2 linked regions of the Callithrix jacchus genome follow. The protein of the gene in region 1 interacts with the protein of each later gene in a biochemical or structural test. Links are inferred from orthologs where the notes say so. Each region holds a gene or a part of one and is shown in the gene's direction. Other genes may lie near its edges.

Region 1 (10,382 bases):
GTATTTAAATCAAGTTGTTTTTGTTTTTTTTTTGAGACAGAGTTAGTGCTCTTGTTGCCCAGGCTGGAGTGCAATGGCGCAATCTCAGCTCACTGCAAACTCCGCCTCCTGGGTTCAAGTGATTCTCCTGCCTCAGCCTCCTGAGTAGCCAGAATTACAGGCATGCGCCATGCGCCACCATGCCCAGCTAATTGTGTATTTTTAGTAGAGATGGGGTTTCTCCATGTTGGTAGGCTGGTCTCGAATTCCCAACCTCAGGTGATCCACCCGCCTTGGCCTCCCAAAGTATTGGGATTACAGGTGTGAGCCACCGAGCCAAACCTTAAATCAAGTTTTATTGTAGTTTCCTTATTGTGTTTCAGTAAGGAAGTTTTTTGTGTGTTCTTGTGTAAGCTTTTATTAATCATCATCATGTGTTATTCTGACTAAAGGAATGCTAGATAAAACTGCATTTTCTCCTCTGGGGCTTATATTAACAAATGAGTCATCAAACTTTTACATTTAACAGAATCACCTGGGAGCTTGTTAAAGCACATATTGCTGAGCCCCACCCGTATAATTTCTTTTTGTTGGTTGGTTGGTTGGTTGGTTGGTTTGGGGTTTTTGTGTTTTTGTTCTGTTTCGTTTTTTTGAGACAGGGTTTCGCTCTGTCACCCAGGTTGGAATGCAGTGGCATGATCTTGACTCACTGCAACCTTGCTGCCCAGATTCAAGCAATTCTCCTGCCTCAGTCTCCCCAGTAGCTGGGATTACAGGCATGCACCCACCACACCTGGCTAATTTTTGTATTTTTAGTAGAGATCAAGATTCACCATGTTGGCTTGGCTGATCTTAAACTCCTGACCTCAAGTGCTCTGCCCACCTTAGTCTCAAAGTGTTGGGATTATAGGCATGAGCCACCACACCCGATCCAGAGTTTCTGAATTAGTAGGCTGATGTGGGGGGCCTGTGGATTTATGGTTCTAACAAATTTCCTCATGATGCTGATGCTGTTGGATTGGGGAACACAATTTGAGATCTACTATACTAACAAACTTTATGATTCCATTATGTTTTAGGGAGCAATGGACCACAGAAATTCTGCATTGAAAAAGTTGGGAAAGAAAACTGGCTACCCAGAAGTCATACCTGGTAAGTACAATCAGAAAAAATAGAGAAAATAGCCTTTGTCCAGTTATCTGTAGCTATTTAAAGCCAGCTAGAAATTAAAAGTGATATTTAGTAGATTTAGAGCGCAGCACAGCCATCACAGCAATGCTGTTTTAGAGCATTTTGTTTACCCCAAAATGATTTCTTAAAACTATTTGCAAACAATTCCTTTTTTCACATCTGAATTTTTTTTTTAATGTGGGATTTAGAATTCTTTTAACTTTTCTCTAAAAGCAGAAAAAGAAGTCAAAGTTAGGAGATCTACTTTATAAGATCATGACCACAAATACTCTCATTTTAAATCTAATTTAATTACATTTCTAGAAATGTAGAAAACCAAATCTAATCCTTACCTTAGAGCAAATGTATTAATACTTTGGAATTCAACCTAATAACAATATATTTTAGTGATCATATATGGTCCTTGCTGGACATCTGACCTCTTTACTGTTTTATTGTCTATTCCTGTTTGTTTTTATACATGTTTTATATATACATGTAATGTTTTAGTAAGAATTTTATTGCTATATAAAAACTTACCCTCTTAAATTATACAGTAGAGTTCAGTGGTTTTTAGTGTATTTACGAGGTTATGTGAGCATCACTACTATCTAATTCCAGAACATTTTTTTACGTTCCCCAAAATCCATGTACCCATTAGCAGTCACTCCCCATTTACCCCCTGTGCAGTCCTTGGTAACCACTAATCTACTTTCTGTCTCTATGAATTTTTCTTTTCTGTGCATTTCATGTAAAATGAATCACAATAAATATATGACCTTTTTTTTGAGACAGAGTCTTGCTATGTTGCTCAGGCTGGGGTACGGTGGCACAAGCTCAGCTCACTGCAACCTCTGCCTCCTGGGTTCAAGTGAGTCTCCTGCCTCAGCCTCCTGAGTACCTGGGACTACAGGCGTGCACCACCACGCATGGCTAATTTTTTGTTTTTAGTAGAGACAGGGTTTCACCATGTTGGCCAGGCTGGTCTTGAACTCCAGACCTGGTGATCCACCCACCTTGGCCTCCCAAAGTGCTGGGATTACAGGCATGAGCCACCATGCCCAGCCAAATATATAACTTTTTTGTGTGTAGTTTCTTTTACTTAGCATGTTTTCAATGTTCACCCATAGTCTAGCATATATCAGTATTTCATTCCTTTTTAAAATTGTTGTGTTTAATATACATAACATAGAATTTACCATTTGTGTTTATCATTCAGTGGTATTAAGTACATTCACATCATTATGCAGCCATCTCCACCATTCATGTCCAAAAATTGTTTCTTTTCTTTTTTTTTGAGACATACCTCACTCTGTCACCCAGACTTGGAGTACAGTAAGTAGCTCGGTCTTCACTCATGCAGCCTCCACCTCCCAGGCTCAAGTGATCCTCCCACCTTGGCCTCCCAAGTAGCTGGGACTACAGGTGTGTGCTACCACACCTGGCTAATTTCTAACTTTTTGTAGAGACAGAATCTCACTTTGTTGTTCAGGCTGGTATTGGCCTCCTGAGCTCAAGCAGTACTCCTGCCTTGGTCTCCCAAAGTGCTGGGATTATAGGCCACTGTCCTGACCCAAAACTTTTCATCTTGCAAAATTGAAATAGTACCCACTAAAGCAGGGTTCCTCAAGTCCTGGTCCCAGCCTGTTAGGAACTGGGCTGCACAGCAGGAGGTGAGCAGAGGGTGAGTGAGCATTACTTGCTGATCTTTGCCACTTGCCAGTTCAGCAGAGGCATTAGATTCTCATAGGAGCAAGTACCCTGTTATGAACTGTACTTGTGAGGAATATAGATTGCGCATTTCTTATGAGAATCCAATGATCTCAGGTGGAACAGTTTCTTTCCGAAACCACCTCCCTCCCCACTCCTGTCCATGGAAAAATTGTCTTCCACAAAAACATTCCCTGTTGCCAAAAAGGTTGGAGACTGCTGCTTTAAACAATAACTCCCCATGACTCCCTCTCCCCAGGTCCTGGCAATCATCATTCTACTACTGTTTCTATGATTTTTGACTATCTTTAGTACTTCTTAAGTGTAGAATCATACCTTATTTGTCCTTTTGTGACTGGCTTATTTCACTTAGAATAGTATCTTTAATTTTCATCCATGTTGTAACATGTGTCAGCATTTCCTCCTTTTTAATGGTAAATAATACTTGATAGTCTGAATATACTACATTTTGTTTGTATATTCATCTCTCCCTGGACACAGGTTATTTCCACCTTTTGGCTATTTTGAATAATGCTGCTATAAACATAGGTATACTGTGGTAGAATATAGGTATATCTACCCATGTCCCTGCTTTCAATTGTTTTAGGTATATACCCAGAGGTAGAACTGCATGATTGTATAGTAATTCTATTTTTAATTTTTTTTGGGGGGGGAAATCTCGCCATACTGCTTTCCATAGGGGCTACACTCCTTTATATTCTTACTAGTAGTGCAGAAAAGCTCTGATTTCTCCACATCCTCACATCCTTTTCAACTCTTGTTTTCTTCTTTTTGTTGTTGTTGTTTTAAATAATAGCCATCCCAGTAGGTGTGAAGTGTATCTTATTTGCATTTACCTAATGACTAAGGATGTTGAGCATTGTTTTCATGTGTTTATTGGTCATTTGTATATCTCCTTTGGAGAAATGTATCCTTTACCCATTTTTAAATATTGTTGAATTCTAAGTTTTTTATATATTTTAGATAGCAGTTCTTTATCAGATATATGATTTATAAATATTTTTTTCCATTTTTGAGTTATTTCACTTTCGTGACGGTATCCTTTGAAGCACAGTAGTTTATTTTTGTGCTTCTATAGGAGTGGTGTTATACTACACTACTCATTTGATTCTTTGCATATTTCCTTTTCTCAAACTAACAATTCTTGCTTTTAGTTTTAATCGCCTGGACCTGCCACCATACAAGAGCTATGAGCAACTGAAAGAAAAGCTGTTGTTTGCCATAGAAGAAACAGAAGGATTTGGACAAGAGTAACTTCTGAGAACTTGCATCGTGAATGGGCAAGAACTTGTTTGCAATGTTTGTTCTTCTCTGCCTGTTGCACATCTTGTAAAATTGGACTGTGGCTCTTTAGAGAGTTATCTGAGTGTAAGTAAATTAATGTTATCATTAAAATTTATCACCCAGTGATTTCTACTCACCATTTCCAGAAATCAGGTCTGCAAATGACTAGTCAAAACTTTGCTTAACATGAAATTTTAACACAGCAATGAAATCTGCCTTGTCTTATTCCACTAGTTTGTTCCCTTAACAATTTTGTATATAGGTCAAAAGTTTCACTTGGGAGTAGGTTTTTTTCTTTTACAAATTCTGGAGATAAGCAGGGAAGTCCTTTGGTAACTGCAATATACAAGATCTTCCTATTAAGCCTCTTGGGATGAGGCATTTGTTAAAAGTGCAAACTTACCCCAGCTTCTGGGGATGTGAGCAAAATTTTGGCTTGTGTTCTCCTCATTTTAGTCTGACTTGACTATTGTCTTTCCTTTCTGGAGCATGAATCCATACATCATTCCTGGAAGTGATGCAAAACTACTGCATCTCTCTACAAAGTAGTTTTGTCAATTTGAATTCAGGGAAAAGTTGGTCACAGCCTCTAAATAATTTCATTTGGAAGTTTGATTGTTTTAGTTGCCTGGCAAATACTACACTTTACGAACAATATTAACACTGTGATTCCTTCGTTGTTGTTTTAAGTTAACCTAGGGCCAGGCGTGGAATCCTAGCACCTTGGGAGGCTGAGGCAGAAGGATCCCTTGAGGACAGGAGTTCAGGACCAGCCTGGGCCACATAGGGAGACCCTGTCTCTTTTGGGGGGAAAAATAAATGGGAAAAAAGTTAACCTAGAATTAGAATTAATTTAATTGAATTCATCTAAGGACATCACTGGTGATTTTTATATGTTCTACATAACTGATGCTTTATAATTTTATCATAATCCAACAACTTCAGTTTATATTTAATTATTGTTAAGGAGTTTAAGACTAGAAAGACAAGAGTGCTTTCTAGTCCAAATAGAGGTCAATGAAATAGCTTCTGACATCAAATTTTCATTTGAGAGGGAGAGCTGTGGTATGGGCTAAAAAGAAAGGAAGATAACGTCCAGTAACTACAAGAATATATTCTCTGTGAATTAAAAGTCTTCAAATTTATCATTTCTCTGACATATGTTGGAGTAGTCATTTCCATTCTTTACATTGTCCTGAAATGGTTTGATATCCCTCATCTGCAATATTCTTTTTACCCTTAAAATTTTTAGCAGGGTTTTCTTTTTTTCTCATGACTATTTTAAGTTTAGATTGCTCCATTACTAACTGATTAATGTACTTTGAAGTTCTCTGGAGTTAATTCTTTTAAATTGGCCTAGCTTAGACTGTCAAGATGGCTGTTATAAATTGGACTTTATGAGCAGTGGAATGAAGCCTAAGCCAGCTGAGTCCCTATTATAGCTGTACTGTGAGGACAGCCTCATAGCTCATGTATAAGGGACTTTGCCATGTTTGAGAGGCATAGCATGAACAAGTAATATTAAGCCAAGAACAAGCAGCAGAACCCTGTTCCATATGGAAAAAAATATTTTTTTTGGCCCTAATGCTCTTCCTTTTTACATCCTGGAACAACAATAAAAACTTTTTTTTTTTAACTTGGCTATCTGTACTCCAAGACACTGCCATCATAAAGCAGAGACTTACATGAGTGAAAAGGTTGCCTCATCAAAGAAACTCAGTGTAAATTGGGAGACTAGGCTCTCCCCAGCCCTGTGGTTTTTTTTTATTTCATGTACCCCAGGAAATACTGTGTGGTTTCCAGTAGCCCTAGTTGTTAAAAGTAGGGACTCTGCCTTTTTGTTGGTAGGGGGGGAAAATGCTATTGCTTTGTCTTACAGAGCGAATGTCTGCCAACTACCCGTTCATTATATAAGTCTGAACTTCGTAATATATGGCTAATGAAGATTAAGCCCTCTATAAAGACTTCCTGTTGAGGTGAATTCTCATACTGAAATGTAGTTATCTACAATATTTACTAGAGATTTATGAGATTAAATTAAGAGATAATGTAAGAAAATAGATTTTTTTTTTGTTCTATATAATGCTTCATGATTCATTTAGGGACCTAGAAATATTGTGTGAAAATATATAAATATCACCCAAAAGGCTTTCTGCCCTATATTTTTAAAATACAGAATAGTTATATTTGAAGTAGCCCTGGCCCTAGTTCTATAGGGCTTGGCTATTTAATATTTTTATGGAAGAAGTGTTTAGTTCTGGAAAAGGTAAATGCTTGTATATATTTTTGCAGCCTGGGATCTCCCTACTCCATTTTTCCCTTTAATTTAAGTGGCCACATGTATATGTCTTCCCTGCTGTGTTAGGAAAATGGGGGCTGGATATCCCAAGAATCAGAGGTTATATAAAAATACTGCAAATAGATAGCAGACATAAATATCTACCAAATGCTATCTTAAATTTTGGTCCAAACTGAACATATGGAAATAGATTTATTGTAAGTATTTACGTAGACCTTTTTCTTAAATCTGAACTAAATTGCTTTTAGAATTCTTTCTCTTTGTAAGCATTGTAAATGCTAATAAATCCTGTTAATTATTATTATTTTTTTTTACTGCATGTTACATTGAAATAAAAACAAAGTAAAATGAGCAATTGCCTTATTCTTCTGCTCTTTTGCAGGGGGCAGGGGTTGGGGAAGACAGCATTCCACAGCCTGGTCAGGAGGGAAGGACCTCACTTTTTTGATCAAATGGAGTGGTTTAAAACTGATCAAACAGCTCATAATAATGAATTCCTGCTCTGTCTTTTATTATGTCAGAGTACAGAAGAACCTCATTTCATAAAACTTACAATAACTCTATTTAAAATTCAGGTATTGTACTTGGGAGGCTGAGGTGGGAGGATCGCTTGAGTCCAGAAGTTCAAATCCAACCTGGGCAACATAGCGAGACCCTGTCTCTTAAAGCAACAAAAAGACATATTCAGGTACTGATTTTTCATCAAGAGATTGACATACCAATGACTAGAAATTTTAGTGAAACATGTTCAACTATACACAAAGTTCTCATCCTAAACGAACTATTTCAATCAAGCCCGCTCTACCACTTTTTACTTATCTGGTTAATAATCTGAAATGTTAATCAGGGTTGACTCATGGAATTAAACTTTTCCTCTTGTTTTGGATGTTACTTCATCTTTCTAAACTCCTTTAGAGTTAACTACTTCTATTTAGTATTGTTGGCATCTCCAGCCCCCACCTCCTTTTTTTTTCTTTTAGTTATTTACAAAATTGTTGGTATATTTGTATATTACTGTATTAAGAGTACCTTTATTTTCTTGATCTGTTACTTCTAATACTCAGGTAATGCTACAAATATTACAGGAAGTCAAATGCTTTCATAAAGTTCCTTCAGTGGTTGCCTCACTTAACGTTTTCCTAAAAGATGTAAAACTGTTTATAATTAAACTTTTTGGTCCTTGATTTGCATGCTTTTCTGTTAGTCATGGGTAAGATGGGGTCTCTTTACTCTTTCCCCGGCCCCGCCTTCAGAGAAGACTTAAAATGACTAGGTCACATAGACTTCTGCCTCTCTGCTTTTTTATGTGGCAAGTTACAGTATGTCTGTATTGTGGTATTGTTCCCGGACCAAAACAAGGGTCAGGCTCCTTATTCTTGCAGCCCAATAATGAGGTGCAGATGAACTGGGAAAGGAGGGAGTTTACTTCAGTAATGGGTATGGGGAGAAGGCCTGGAAATTATCCCCAGACCAACTCAAAAGTACAAAGTTTTCCAGAGCTTATTTACCTTCTAATCTGTATGTCTATGTGTAAGTGTGCATTCATCTAAAGACATAAGTGATTAGCTTTTTTAAATCTATAACTAAGATCTGAGTCCCAAAGACCTTCTTCTGGAGCCTCAGTAAATTTACTGAATCTAAATGGATCCAGGTGCTGGGGTGAATGATTACCCTTCAGACCCCCCAGTAAACTTGTTTGTGGGGGCCTTCAGAAAAAGTTCCTTCAGACCCCCAATAAAACTTGTCTAATCCTAAATGGATCCTGTTAATTCCTTTGTTATCTTGTCATGCTTCAAGGCCCAGGAAAGGCCTGGGCAAAACCCTTGGTGGGCTTTTGTATAAGGGCCCTGACTTTTTTAGCTTTTAATATTTAACTTAACCACTCAGTCAGTGCTGAAACAGTTGTTATGGAGACCTGTGTTATTAAGACCTGGCCTACCACAATATGAGTAAAAATACTAGAAATTGCTACGCAGATGAGACTGGATTTGGTGCCCATGTTGAAGATGAAGATATCTCCAGGGGCTGTTGACTAACATGAAGGCCTCCATGTGAATTGTTTTCTGAGACAACTGAAAGATGGGACCACAGGCAGGAGTGCTAAGTAGAGAACCACCAACTAGCTAGCTATCAAGACTGTTACCAAGAGTGTTATCAACCAGCTGGCCTGCTTACCATCTTCATAGACCTTTTTCTTATTGGGAAACTCAGGTGATTATGCTCTCATTTAAAACAAAACCAGTGGAAAGGGACTAAGGCAAGAGGAATTTTTTAATACAGCTGATCTAACATGGGCCTAGGGGACAGAAACTGCAGGCCTCTCCCAGGTCCTGAGTAGCTGTTTAGTCTGTCCAGTGGAAGCTGCTAGAATGCTGTAGTTTCAATGTGCTTAGAATAAGGGACAAGATATGTCCCCCTCAGCATGTGGAAACCTATGGGGAATAAGTAATTGTTCTTATTAACCATTGTCTCTCATCCAAAACCCTACAAAGCATCAAACTGGGACTCAGCTGTGGCTGACTGGCTGTTCTCTGGACTTTTCAAGTGTCTCAAACATTGTATAACTCTAGGAGTTGCTGTCTCTCCCAGCCTATTTCAGTTGTCGAATCTTCCATGTTTGTAGGACTCCTTTGTGATCAGGATATCTGTAGTGAGGAGCCAGGAGAAACTTTGTGGTTGGCAAGGAAAAGAGGACCTTAAACATAAACCCCCAAAGGACACTGTTGATCCCTTGTAAACAGGGTCCTGTTAATAAGTGAAGAGTGGCTATGAACAAAGGGATTTCCTCAAAGCACCCCGCAGGGAAGAACCTGGAGAATTTGTAGTCATACTTGCAAGATCACTAAAAACAGCCCTCCTGTTACTTTTCTTCTAATTCAGACCTGTTCTTCTATTTGTCTTCCATATCATAGCAACCAATACCCCACACCAACATTCACTTAATACCAAAACAACTGTCAACATTTATCACTATGTGCAGGACACTAGTAGATATGCTATGTGCAGTGTCACTTAGTCTTCCTGTTACTGGGAACGATTTCTGTTTCACAAGACAATAGAGGCTCCAAATGATTGAATCATGTTCACAACTATTAAGTAGAAAGTACAGATTGGAATCCAGGACGGTTTGACTCCAGAGCATGTATACTTAACCATTTTGCTGTACTGCTACTTACATACCACAACACCGGGAGTGACCAGTTTTGCCATTACATTTAATTAGCCTCCAAATCCTATCAAATCTATTCCCAAAACTTTTTTTTTTTTTTTTTTTTTTTTCCGAAACTAGAGTCTCGTTCTGTCGCCCAAGCTGGAGTGCAGTGGCGCGATCTCGGCTCACTGCAACCTCCCCCGCCCGATTTCAAGCAATTCTGCTTCACCCTCCCGAGTAGCTGGGATTACAGGCGCCCACCTCCATGCCCGGCTAATTTTGTATTTTAATACAAAAAGTCAATCCTCTTAACATGCAGACACTTACATTTCGAAGGAGAACCAAATCCTTCCTCACTGAAGAGCAGCTACCGTGGAATGAAATTTTGGAGTTAAGATTATCGTTGAATCCAACAAGCTACAGTGCCTGGGAGAAAAGGCACTTATAAAGTATTCGGTGAAGCTTACTGGTGATAAGGCATGTGCGTGTTCAGCACAGTAATGTGGCACAGGGTTCACTAAACGGCAGCATGTTTTAACCGAAGTTATTTCCTACTTAGAGGACCCAGAAATGTTTGCGGCCTGCGAGAATAGAATGCTAAAGAACGAAAACCCGGACAACACTGGACTCTGGTAAGAAGGGTCCCCCTTTTAGAGGTGAGAACAGGATAGAACACAAAGATGTGAAGTGGTTTCTCCTAGGTAACGCGGGGATTCAGCTGTGGCTGAGCTCGGATTCTGTAGACTCCCAGGCCAGCCCTAACCAATT
Region 2 (9,962 bases), on another chromosome or scaffold:
GCTATGCCCTAAATGCTCACCTGCTTAGACAGCTGGGAAGCTAGACACCTGGTCCTTACCTCCAACTGCCTTCCACCTTGATATGACTCAGTTTCCCCATGCCTAAGAGAGCCATGGGGACAGCAGGCAACAACAGCCTGTATAAAATGTAAAGGTCATGTTCGAGTGGACCATCAGGTTAGAATTCATCATATGCGTGGAAGAAACGCAGACCTGGCGGGACTCCTGGGAGAGGCCTGGAGCCATGTGTGCCCCCGCTGGCCAGGAGCATGGTGGGGGCGGGGTGTGGGCAGAAACCACATCGGGCTCAAGTTTCCTCTCTTGGCCGAAAGGGGCAGGAGGAGAGGAGAGCCACGGGGAAAGGGGAGGGTTGGAGGCAGGACTGAGAACTCAAGCCGAGGGCTTCAGAGAGAAGGCTGGTGCCCCTGCTTGGGGCTCCCTGTGCTCAGCCTAAGCGTGAGCCTCCACACTCCGTGCTCAGCAATGGCCCGGGGGCGGGGCGCGGCCCTTGCAGATTCTCAAAGGTAGCCGGGATCCTCGTCCAGCAGTGTCAGCTCAGGCTCAGCCTCTCCAGAGACAACACCAGGAGCCTCGTCTTTCTCCTCACCCTGCTGGGACTCTGCCACAGGTGCCTGAAAGGTGGGATGGGTGGGGGGATTCCAGTGGGATTCTAGGGTCAGGCTGGAGGGTGAAGGAGGTGAGGAAGGAAAATCACCAACTTTCAGTATGTTCCTAGGAGACCTCAGACCTTTCTAGATTGCCCCTCGTTTAGCAGTTTGACATCTTTGGGAACTCCTGTAGGAGAAGACCTAAATGGTTTCCCAGGTGTTCTGGGATCCTTGGGGTAGAAGGCTGTGAATGTGGACCAGAGAGTAGTCTCCCGAGGCAAGGCAGCCCTGAGGAGCTGGGGAGTAGCCAGGAAATATCCTTCAACTGGTGGGCTGCCCTGGGGGAACCAACAGATTTCCAGGTATATGATGTCATCCTTTCCCCGACCCCATTCCATTCCTCTGCCCTGTCTAGCTAATTGAGAAGGTTTGGGGAAAGCTAAGGAGTTGGAAACACTGGATATCTGGACCTCTGAGAAGCGTCGCAAGGTTCAGGTGGTTGGATGGGTCGCCCCTGGGTTCTTGCCTGTCGTTGCTCTTTCTCTTCTCTGTGCCCAGGAGCAGTAGGTCAGCGGGACCTGGAGAGGGATGGAAGGCATCCCAACCCCAGCACAGTTGCTTCTAACTGGAACTCTTGGCTGCTTGGGAAATAGGGGCTTGCGAAGCAGTGGAAGAGAAGAGAGGAGATATCAGAACTGCTGGGGCTGGGATTCTCTAGACATTGGTACCAAAGGACTGAAGTTTGGGGTCCAGGGATGGAGTGACAGGATAGCAGAAACTTGTCCCCGTCTCCCTTGTTCTCACACATTTCTTTGAGTCATGCATGTTCCCAGAGCACTGAACTCACGATACTCAAATCTCTCGCCCTCCTTTTTTTCCCCATCATTCTCTGTCTCATCTCTGTGTGTCGCTCTCCCTTTGGGAGTTCTGGGGAGATCTTTCTAAACAGGTTGCTCACCTGCCAACCCAGACTCCAGGTTTTAATAATCCCTCCCTATCCTTTCAGTGCACCTATTGACACCTGGAGAGGTGAGATAGTCAAATAAGCCTTAGAAAAGGGATCCTGAGGCAAGCCTCCTCTCATCGTTCCCCCTTGTCAAGGAAGTGAAGAGCTCTGGGGCAGCGGCCAAGGCCAAATGCCCTCCTCTCTCCATCATCCTCTCCAAATGGTCCCCATTCTGTATTCCTTTTTTTCTTTTACTTCTTCTTCTTTTTCTTTTCTTTTTTTTTTTTTGTATTTTCTTTTCTTTTTTTCTGACTTGGCTCAGCACAGAATTTTTTTTTTTTTTTTGAGATGGAGTTTCGCTTTTGTTGCCCAGGCTGGAGTGCAAAGGCACAATCTCAGCTCACCGCAACCTCCGCCTCCCAGGTTCAAGCTATTTTTCTGCCTCAGCCTCCCGAGTAGCTGGGATTACAGGCATTCACCACCACAACTGGCTAATTTTTGTTTTGTTTGAGACACAGTTTCGCTCTTGTTACCCAGGCTGGAGTGCAATGGCGCGATCTCGGCTCACCGCAACCTCCACCTCCTGGGATCAGCAATTCTCCTGCCTCAGCATCCTGAGTAGCTGGGATTACAGGCACGCGCCACCATGCCCAGCTAATTTTTTTTGTATTTTTAGTAGAGACAGGCTTTCACCATGTTGACCAGGATGGTCTCGATCTCTTGACCTCGTGATCCACCCGCCTCGGCCTCCCAAAGTGCTGGGATTACAGGCTTGAGCCACCGTGCCCGGCCCAAATTTTTGTATTTTTAGTAGAGATGGTGTTTCACCATGTTGGTCAGGCTGGTCTCGAACTTTTGACCTCATGATCAACCCGCCTCAGCCTCCCAAAAGTGCTGGGATTACAGGCTTGAGCCACTGCACCCGGCCCCACTCTGTATTCCTAAGCATGAAGCTCCATATCATTCTGTTAGTACTTAGGCATTATGATAAAACTTTTTCTGGGTAGGACCACCAAGATAAGAGTAAGGAGGAGTGACAACCTCATTTCTACCTGATCCACAATGTTGGGGAGTAAGAGAAGGAACAGACAACCCAGTGGGAGTAAGATAGTCATGTGGCCTCAAAATGCAAGCTAAACTGTAAAGTAGGAGCTTCTTATTTTAAAAGCAAAAAAACACAGGGAAGCCCACTTCACTTTCCTAGTATCTCTCCAGTTTCTATACCTTCTATGGTGTTCTATTTCATCCAATTCTACCTCCCTGATCTGTCCCACTGCTTGCCAGCTCTCATGTCCTCTGAAAGGAAGGCTCTGGAGACCCAGAGGGACCTATGCCTGAGTGTCTTCTCTAGACACCCATCCTTGAGTGTCTAGAGAAAAGCATCCTGCCCCATGTGCCACCTGGTACAAACTTGCTACCGCACCCAAGAGCTTGCTGGTTGGATTGGATCCAGAGGTTCTTCTCCACTCCCTCTCCCCCAGTCTCCTTCTCCTCTTGCTCCTCTTCTTTTTTTTTTTTTTTTTTGTACTCTGTCACCCAGGCTGGAGTGTAGTGGCATTATCTTGAACCCACATCCTGGGTTCAAGCAATTCTCATGCCTCAGCCTCCTAAGGTGCCTGCCACCATACCCAGATAATTTTTGTATTTTCAGTAGAGATGAGGTTTTGCCATGTTGGCCAGGCTGGTCTCAAACTCCTGACCTCAGGTGATCCACCCATCTCAGCCTCCCAAAGTGCTGGGATTACAAGCACGAGCCACTGCACACAGCCACTGGGGCACTTTTAAAATGCTGATTCCTGGGTCTATGGTTTCTATTCAGTAGATTAGAAGTGGCTTTCAGGAATCTGTGTTTTTACATGTAGCTCAGGTGAATGTGGCACACAATGAAGTTTGTGACTCCCTGAGCTAGATGCAACGTAAGGCCTTTCACAGCAATTGGGTTCCTAGTCCTGTCTCCATTTAATAGAAGGGGCTGAGTGTGAAGCAATTTGCCCAAGGTTGTATATCTTTTTGTTTTTGAGACAGAGTTTTGCTCTTGCTCCCCAATGGTGTGATCTTGTAACCTCTGCCTCCCGGGTTCAAGTGATTCTCTTGCCTCAGCCTCCCCAGTAGCTGAGACTACAGGTTCATGTCACCATGCCTGGCTAATTTTGTATTTTTAGTAGAGATGGGGTTTCTCCATGTTGGTTAGGCTGGTCTTGAACTCCTGACCTCAGGTGATCCACCGACCTCAGCCTCATGTATCTTAAGTGCCAGAAAACCTAGGTCTCCTGCCTCCTAGGGCAGGATCTGTGTACTGCACCTTAGTGTCAGATCCAGGAAGATAAAAGGAGAGACAATGGGGGGTTGGGGTGAGTAAAGAACTATGAAGCAAGAGTTATTGTCTCTGCGCCCTAAACCCCTTCTCCATTCACTTTGCCTTTGGGCAATTTCCGCCAGAACCTGGGTGGAGGAGGGTGGAGTTCCGGTGTTGAAATGGCATCCTGGGCAGACATAAACACCCCACCCACTCTGCCCACTGGCAGAGTTGCCTACACCAACTCCCATCTATGGGGATACAATATAACAAGGGGATGGAGGCAAGGGCTAGGGGATACTCTTTCAAAAGGATCATTTGTAGTTCCTACTAATTTTGTAGTAAGTCAAAGAGCAGTTTCCATATTAAATTGCTGTGATGGGCCATCCTTGTGGTGAGCGGTCTAAGGTCATGCAATTTGAGGTCGTACAGTCCTATCCTCCGTTCTTTTTTTTAAAATTTTTTTTGTTTTTTTTGAGACGGAGTTTCGCTCTTGTTACCCAAGCTGGAGTGCAATGGCAAGATCTCAGCTCACCACAACCTCCACCTCCTGGGTTCAGGCAATTCTCCTGCCTCAGCCTCCTGAGTAGCTAGGATTACAGGCACGCGCCACCATGCCCAGCTAATTTTTTGTATTTTTAGTAGAGATGGGGTTTCACCATGTTAGCCAGGGTGGTCTCAAACTCCTGACCTCAGATGATCACCTGCCTCAGCCTCCCAAAGCTCTGGTATTACAGGCGTGAGCTACTGTGCTGCCTGGCCTCTTTTTTTTTTTTCTGAGACAGGGTCTTGCTCTGTCACCCAGGCTCGAATGTGGTGGCACAATCATGGCTCACAGCAGGCTTAATCTTTCAGGTTCAAATGATCCTTCCCCTTCAGTCTCTTGAGTAGCTGGGACCACAGACGTGTGCCACCATGCCTGGCTAATTTTTGCATTTTTAGTGGAGATGGGTTTTCACCATGTTCGCCAGGCTGATCTCAAACTCCTGGGCTTAAGCGATCCTCCCACCTCAGCCTCCCAAAATGCTTCCGCTCTCCTATGTTTCCTTTACCCTAGTCTGCTTCCCTTTACTTATATGTTAGGGTATGTCTGTGTGTGTGCAATATACACACAGTGTCTGACTCCAAGAGATCAGGAAGGCTCTGCCAAATCTACTTGGAATCTCTTGCTGAAGGCAGGGAAAACAGATTCGAGGAAAGTGGTGTTAGGGAATAGGGAGGTAGCATGAGGAGAGGGACTGACAGAGAAGATAAAGGCAGGGGAGAGGGTTTGCTGAGAATTCCAAGCAGAAAGGGACCTCCAAGGTCAACTTGTCCAACTCCCTGGTTTTACAAATGAGGAAACAGAGGCCCAGAGAAGTGAGACGGCTTGCCCAACATCACACTGCTGCTTTGTGGCAGAGCTACAACTAGAACCCAGGTCAAAAGACAAGGGACTGGAGGGGAGAGTGTATTCAAGGCTCTAAAGCGATATTGACAAGAAGGTGAAAGAGAGACTGACACTCCACAGAAAGAACTGACGAATGTAGATTTCCAACAGAGCTTTGGAGTATGGAGATACAGGGGCAGGATGGGAAGTGCCTAGAAGACATTATAGTTGAGTAGAGTCAGGTTCTAGACTTCATCCTGCTTTTATTTATCAGCTTCAGTCTCGGTGTCTGATGCACCTTTAGAATCTTTATGAAAACCAATCTTACAAACTAAGCTTGCAACACCCCAGTACAGTTCTTAACAAGTGCTTACTAAGTCTTTACTAAGGTTGTTATATTACCGCAGAAGAGGAAAGGCTTGTGGTTGTATGGGTTCGGGTGTGGACCAAATGACCCTGTGAGGACACAGGACCGAGGTCCAGTGTCTCCAGAGCCCATTCCTTCTGTGCCTCTCCTGCCTGCAGCTGATAAACCTCTTATCTGGCCTAGGCAGGGGAGCCCAGGGCCAGGATAGGAGGAGAGGGCAGAGCTGCTATCAGCCGCCAGGCCTGGGCCATATCTTGGAGAGGGGGAGGGGTTGTCTGCTTGACTCTTTCCACAACATGCTCTTGGGGATCCCCAAGCATATATTGTCATCATCTTGGAAAGAAAAGGGTGAGAACCTAACACTGAGGACAGAGGAGGAAAGGAGGGCACCCCTGATGCTGCCCTAGAAAATGGAAAAGAAAACATAGCAAAACAGAAAAGCAGAAGACCTGACTCTGCCCCTAGCCAGGAAAACAGTTTTAGGGGCTAAAAAGGAGGGGAAAGAGTGGGCATTTTTCCTGGAAAAAAGGTAAAGACCTCCTGTGCTGCCAAAGGAATTGATTGTGGCCGTAGTCAGCGAAGTGGAGATCACACCCCATTTTAAGGGATTGGTTGATGAGTCCAGCATGAGTGAGGGTGGGGAGGAAGAGGTCTCTCCTTCCAGGGAGAGGGATCCCTTCCAAGGAGGTAGCGCAAACTTGCTGACCCTAGCAGGTGTTGCTCTAGCACCTCTTTTCTTTGACACAGGATTCTAGAGCCATCTGGGCTTTGGGGGAACCTGGACCACACTCTGGCCCAGTAGGATGTCCCCGTGTCCTCCCCAGCAGAGCAGGAACAGAGTGATACAGCTGTGTACTTCAGAACTAGGAGAGATGGAACTGACTTGGCAGGAGATCATGTCCATCACCGAGCTGCAGGTGAGTAAGGAGGGGGAGGCAGGGGAGGGGTGTGTCAGAGAAGAGAGAAGCAGGGAGTTGGCCTGCACTGAAGCTGGGAGCAAGCAGGGATCAGGCTGGTAATGCTCCAGGCACTGGAAAAGGAAGGGCTGGGAAAGATCTGGATGGAAGGCACTGAGGAACATTGAGGAGTGGAAGAGCAGTGGTGAGGAGGGAAGGGTCTGATTGAGAGTGTAGGCTCTCTCAGCAGCCACATCTCTCTCTACACACTCCCACTCCTGCTCTCCCTCCCTTGCTCACCTTCTTCTCTTCTGACCTCTCTCTCTGATCCTGCCATCTTCTTCCCTCATTTCCTCCCCCTGCCCTTAGCAACTAGGCCGCTTTCCCCCAGGTAGCAGAGCAGTAGTTCAGGGGCCTCTGGAAGGGGAGTCGGACTATGCCAGGGTCCTCTCCTCCTGCTACTTGGACAAAGGGGTGTCTGTTGGCCTAACAATGATGCCTTTGTCCCCAGCTGGGCTAGAGCAGGGTTGCTCCCCTATGTGGGTTGGGGGCCTTGTTTCCAGCATGTTCTCTTCTTCTCGCTGCACCTGGGCAGGGACAGAGGGACTAAAGAGGAGAGGGCAGAGCTTGTGCTGGCTCCCCAAGGAGCTTCTTAGCCCCACGCCTGACCCCTTTTTCTGCCCTGCCACCATGCCTAGCACCCTCAGGATCTGCCCTAGGCACTCTTTCCACACAGCAGCTCCCTCTGCTGGGCATCCGGGGCATGGCCAGAATCTGAACTTGACCCTTCAACCCTAGATAACTGCAGCAGGAAAGGGTTCTGAGAGGTCATCTTGGAGAACAAGGCTTTGACTTCCTGAAGGAAATAAAGGAACATGAGCCATTTTAACCCAGTTAGAACTTCTCCAAGAAGGAGTGTTCATAATTGTTCCAATGTTAGTCTTTTCTGCAGTCCAACCTCAGTGACTTCCATTCTTGCCAAAGTTGCATTTTTCTTTTCTTTTCTTTTCTTTTTCTTTTTTTTGAGATGGAGTCTTGCTCTGTTGCCCAGGCTGGAGTACAGTGGCACCATGTTGGCTTACTTCAATCTCCACCTCCCGAGTTCAAGCAATTCTCCTGCCTCAGCCTCCCAAGTAGCTGGGATTACAGGCGTTCATCACCACACCCAGCTAATTTTTGTTTTTTTAGCAGAGACGGGGTTTCACCATGTTGGCCAGGCTGGTCTTGAACTCCTGACCTCAGGTAATCTGCTGCACTGGCCTCCCATAGTGCTAGGATTACAGGTGTGAGCTGCTGCACCCCATCTTAAACTGCATTTTTCTTGGAACAACTGTATCACAACTTTGCAAGTAGCTTCCAAAGATTTGTGGCAACTTTGTTTCCTTGTTACTATCTCACTGGGTCTTTCAGAAGAATTCAACTTGGTCCTTAGAGAGTGTTGGTTTCTCTTCCTTAGTCTATCTCCAAATCTCTTTGTGTCTTTCTTTACAGGGTCTAAATGCTCCAAGTGAGCCATCGTTTGAGCCCCAAGCCCCAGCCCCATACCTTGGACCTCCACCACCCACAGCTTACTGCCCCTGCTCAATCCACCCAGACGCTGGCTTCCCACTTCCTCCACCACCTTATGAACTCCCAGCATCCACATCCCATGTCCCAGATCCCCCATACTCCTATGGCAACATGGCTATACCAGTCTCCAAGCCACTGACCCTCTCAGGCCTGCTCAGTGAGCCGCTCCCAGACCCCTTAGCCCTCCTGGACATTGGGCTGCCAGCGGGACCACCTAAGCCCCAAGAAGACCCAGAATCCGACTCAGGATTATCCCTCAACTATAGCGATGCTGAATCCCTTGAGCTGGAGGGGACAGAGGCTGGTCGGCGGCGCAGCGAATATGTAGAGATGTACCCAGTGGAGTACCCCTACTCACTCATGCCCAACTCCTTGGCCCACTCCAACTATACCTTGCCAGCTGCTGAGACCCCCTCGGCCTTAGAGCCCTCCTCAGGCCCTGTGCGGGCTAAGCCCACTGCACGGGGGGAGGCAGGGAGTCGGGATGAACGTCGGGCCTTGGCCATGAAGATTCCTTTTCCTACAGACAAGATTGTCAACTTGCCGGTAGATGACTTTAATGAGCTATTGGCGAGGTACCCGCTGACAGAGAGCCAGCTGGCGCTAGTCCGGGACATCCGACGACGGGGCAAAAACAAGGTGGCAGCCCAGAACTGCCGCAAGAGGAAGCTGGAAACCATAGTGCAGCTGGAGCGGGAGCTGGAGCGGCTGAGCAATGAGCGGGAGCGGCTTCTCAGGGCCCGCGGGGAGGCCGACCGGACCCTGGAGGTCATGCGCCAACAGCTGACAGAGCTATATCGTGACATTTTCCAGCACCTTCGGGATGAATCAGGCAACAGCTACTCTCCTGAAGAGTATGCGCTGCAACAGGCTGCCGATGGGACCATCTTCCTGGTGCCCCGGGGGACCAAGATGGAGGCCACAGACTGAGCTGGCGCAGAGGGGTGGAACTGGTGATGGGGTTTTCTTCATTCCCTTCTGATAAAGGTACTCCCCAACCCTGAGAGCCAGAAAGAGCTGAGTTCTCTAGACCAGACGAGGATGACAATGGGAATGGGTGTTTAGAAGTTCCAAGGTGTGTTCAAAGAGGCTTGCCTTGAGGGAGGGCTGGAATCTGTCTTCCCTGACTCAGCTTCTCAGGTCTTCAGCCTCCACCTCTTGTCCAAGCTTTGGTCTATAAAGTGCGATACAGAAATAGCCTTTCACTGTGTCTTTCTTCTTGAGGGAGGGTGATGAAGCTGAGATCACTATCTGTTTGGGGTAGGGAGGGAATCTTACCAAGTTCATTTCGTTCCTCCCAGAGCTCTGTATGAGAGGTACACATAACATTTGGGCTTGAGCAGTTTGGGGATCTACCACCTTCATCCCCTTTTCAGAGTGAGGGGTCATGGATGATCGGGAGATCCCTGCACTCCCTGGTGGTGCTCTATTAGCGCTTGGAGAGCTGCCAAAACTGGCTAGACCCCATAGGCAAAGGTTCCTGATATTTAGATCTCTCTTCTCTCAATCCTCCCAGCACAAAAAAGCCCAGAATGCCCACAGGCCTTTCTTTTTTTTTGAGACGGAGTTTCACTGGTTACCCAGGCTGGAGTGCAATGTGCGACCTCGGCTCACCGCAACCTCCACCTCTCGGGTTTAGGCAATTCTCTTGTCTCAGCCTCCTGAGTAGCTGGGATTACAGGCACGCGCCACCATGCCCAATTTTTTGTATTTTTAGTAGAGATGGGGTTTCACCATGTTAACCAGGATGGTCTTGATCTCTTGACCTCGTGATCCACCCGCCTCGGCCTCCCAAAGTGCTGGGATTACAGGCGGCCCTATGGCCTTTCTTTTTTTCTTCCCTCCTGCTTACCTCTCAGCCTGGGTCCTAATGTGCCAGAGTTCTCTCAGAAGACTGAGTGGGCTGTTCTT

The links.
Region 2: of the proteins of ITCH (region 1) and NFE2, one has a biochemical effect on the other in vitro, tested with the Homo sapiens proteins (2 studies listed by BioGRID, with this or other methods). The link is inferred for Callithrix jacchus from reciprocal best matches to the Homo sapiens genes ITCH and NFE2.

The regions. Positions count from the first base shown.
Region 1 is NC_133506.1:4,795,763-4,806,144, reverse strand, and holds the end of ITCH (E3 ubiquitin-protein ligase Itchy homolog), read left to right. Parts: intron 1-1,058; coding exon 1,059-1,131; intron 1,132-4,034; coding exon 4,035-4,134; 3' UTR 4,135-6,814; downstream 6,815-10,382. UniProt on the Homo sapiens protein: Acts as an Acts as an E3 ubiquitin-protein ligase which accepts ubiquitin from an E2 ubiquitin-conjugating enzyme in the form of a thioester and then directly transfers the ubiquitin to targeted substrates.
Region 2 is NC_133510.1:65,248,990-65,258,951, forward strand, and holds NFE2 (transcription factor NF-E2 45 kDa subunit), read left to right. Parts: upstream 1-386; 5' UTR 387-628; intron 629-6,333; 5' UTR 6,334-6,389; coding exon 6,390-6,503; intron 6,504-7,973; coding exon 7,974-8,981; 3' UTR 8,982-9,246; downstream 9,247-9,962. UniProt on the Homo sapiens protein: Component of the NF-E2 complex essential for regulating erythroid and megakaryocytic maturation and differentiation. Binds to the hypersensitive site 2 (HS2) of the beta-globin control region (LCR).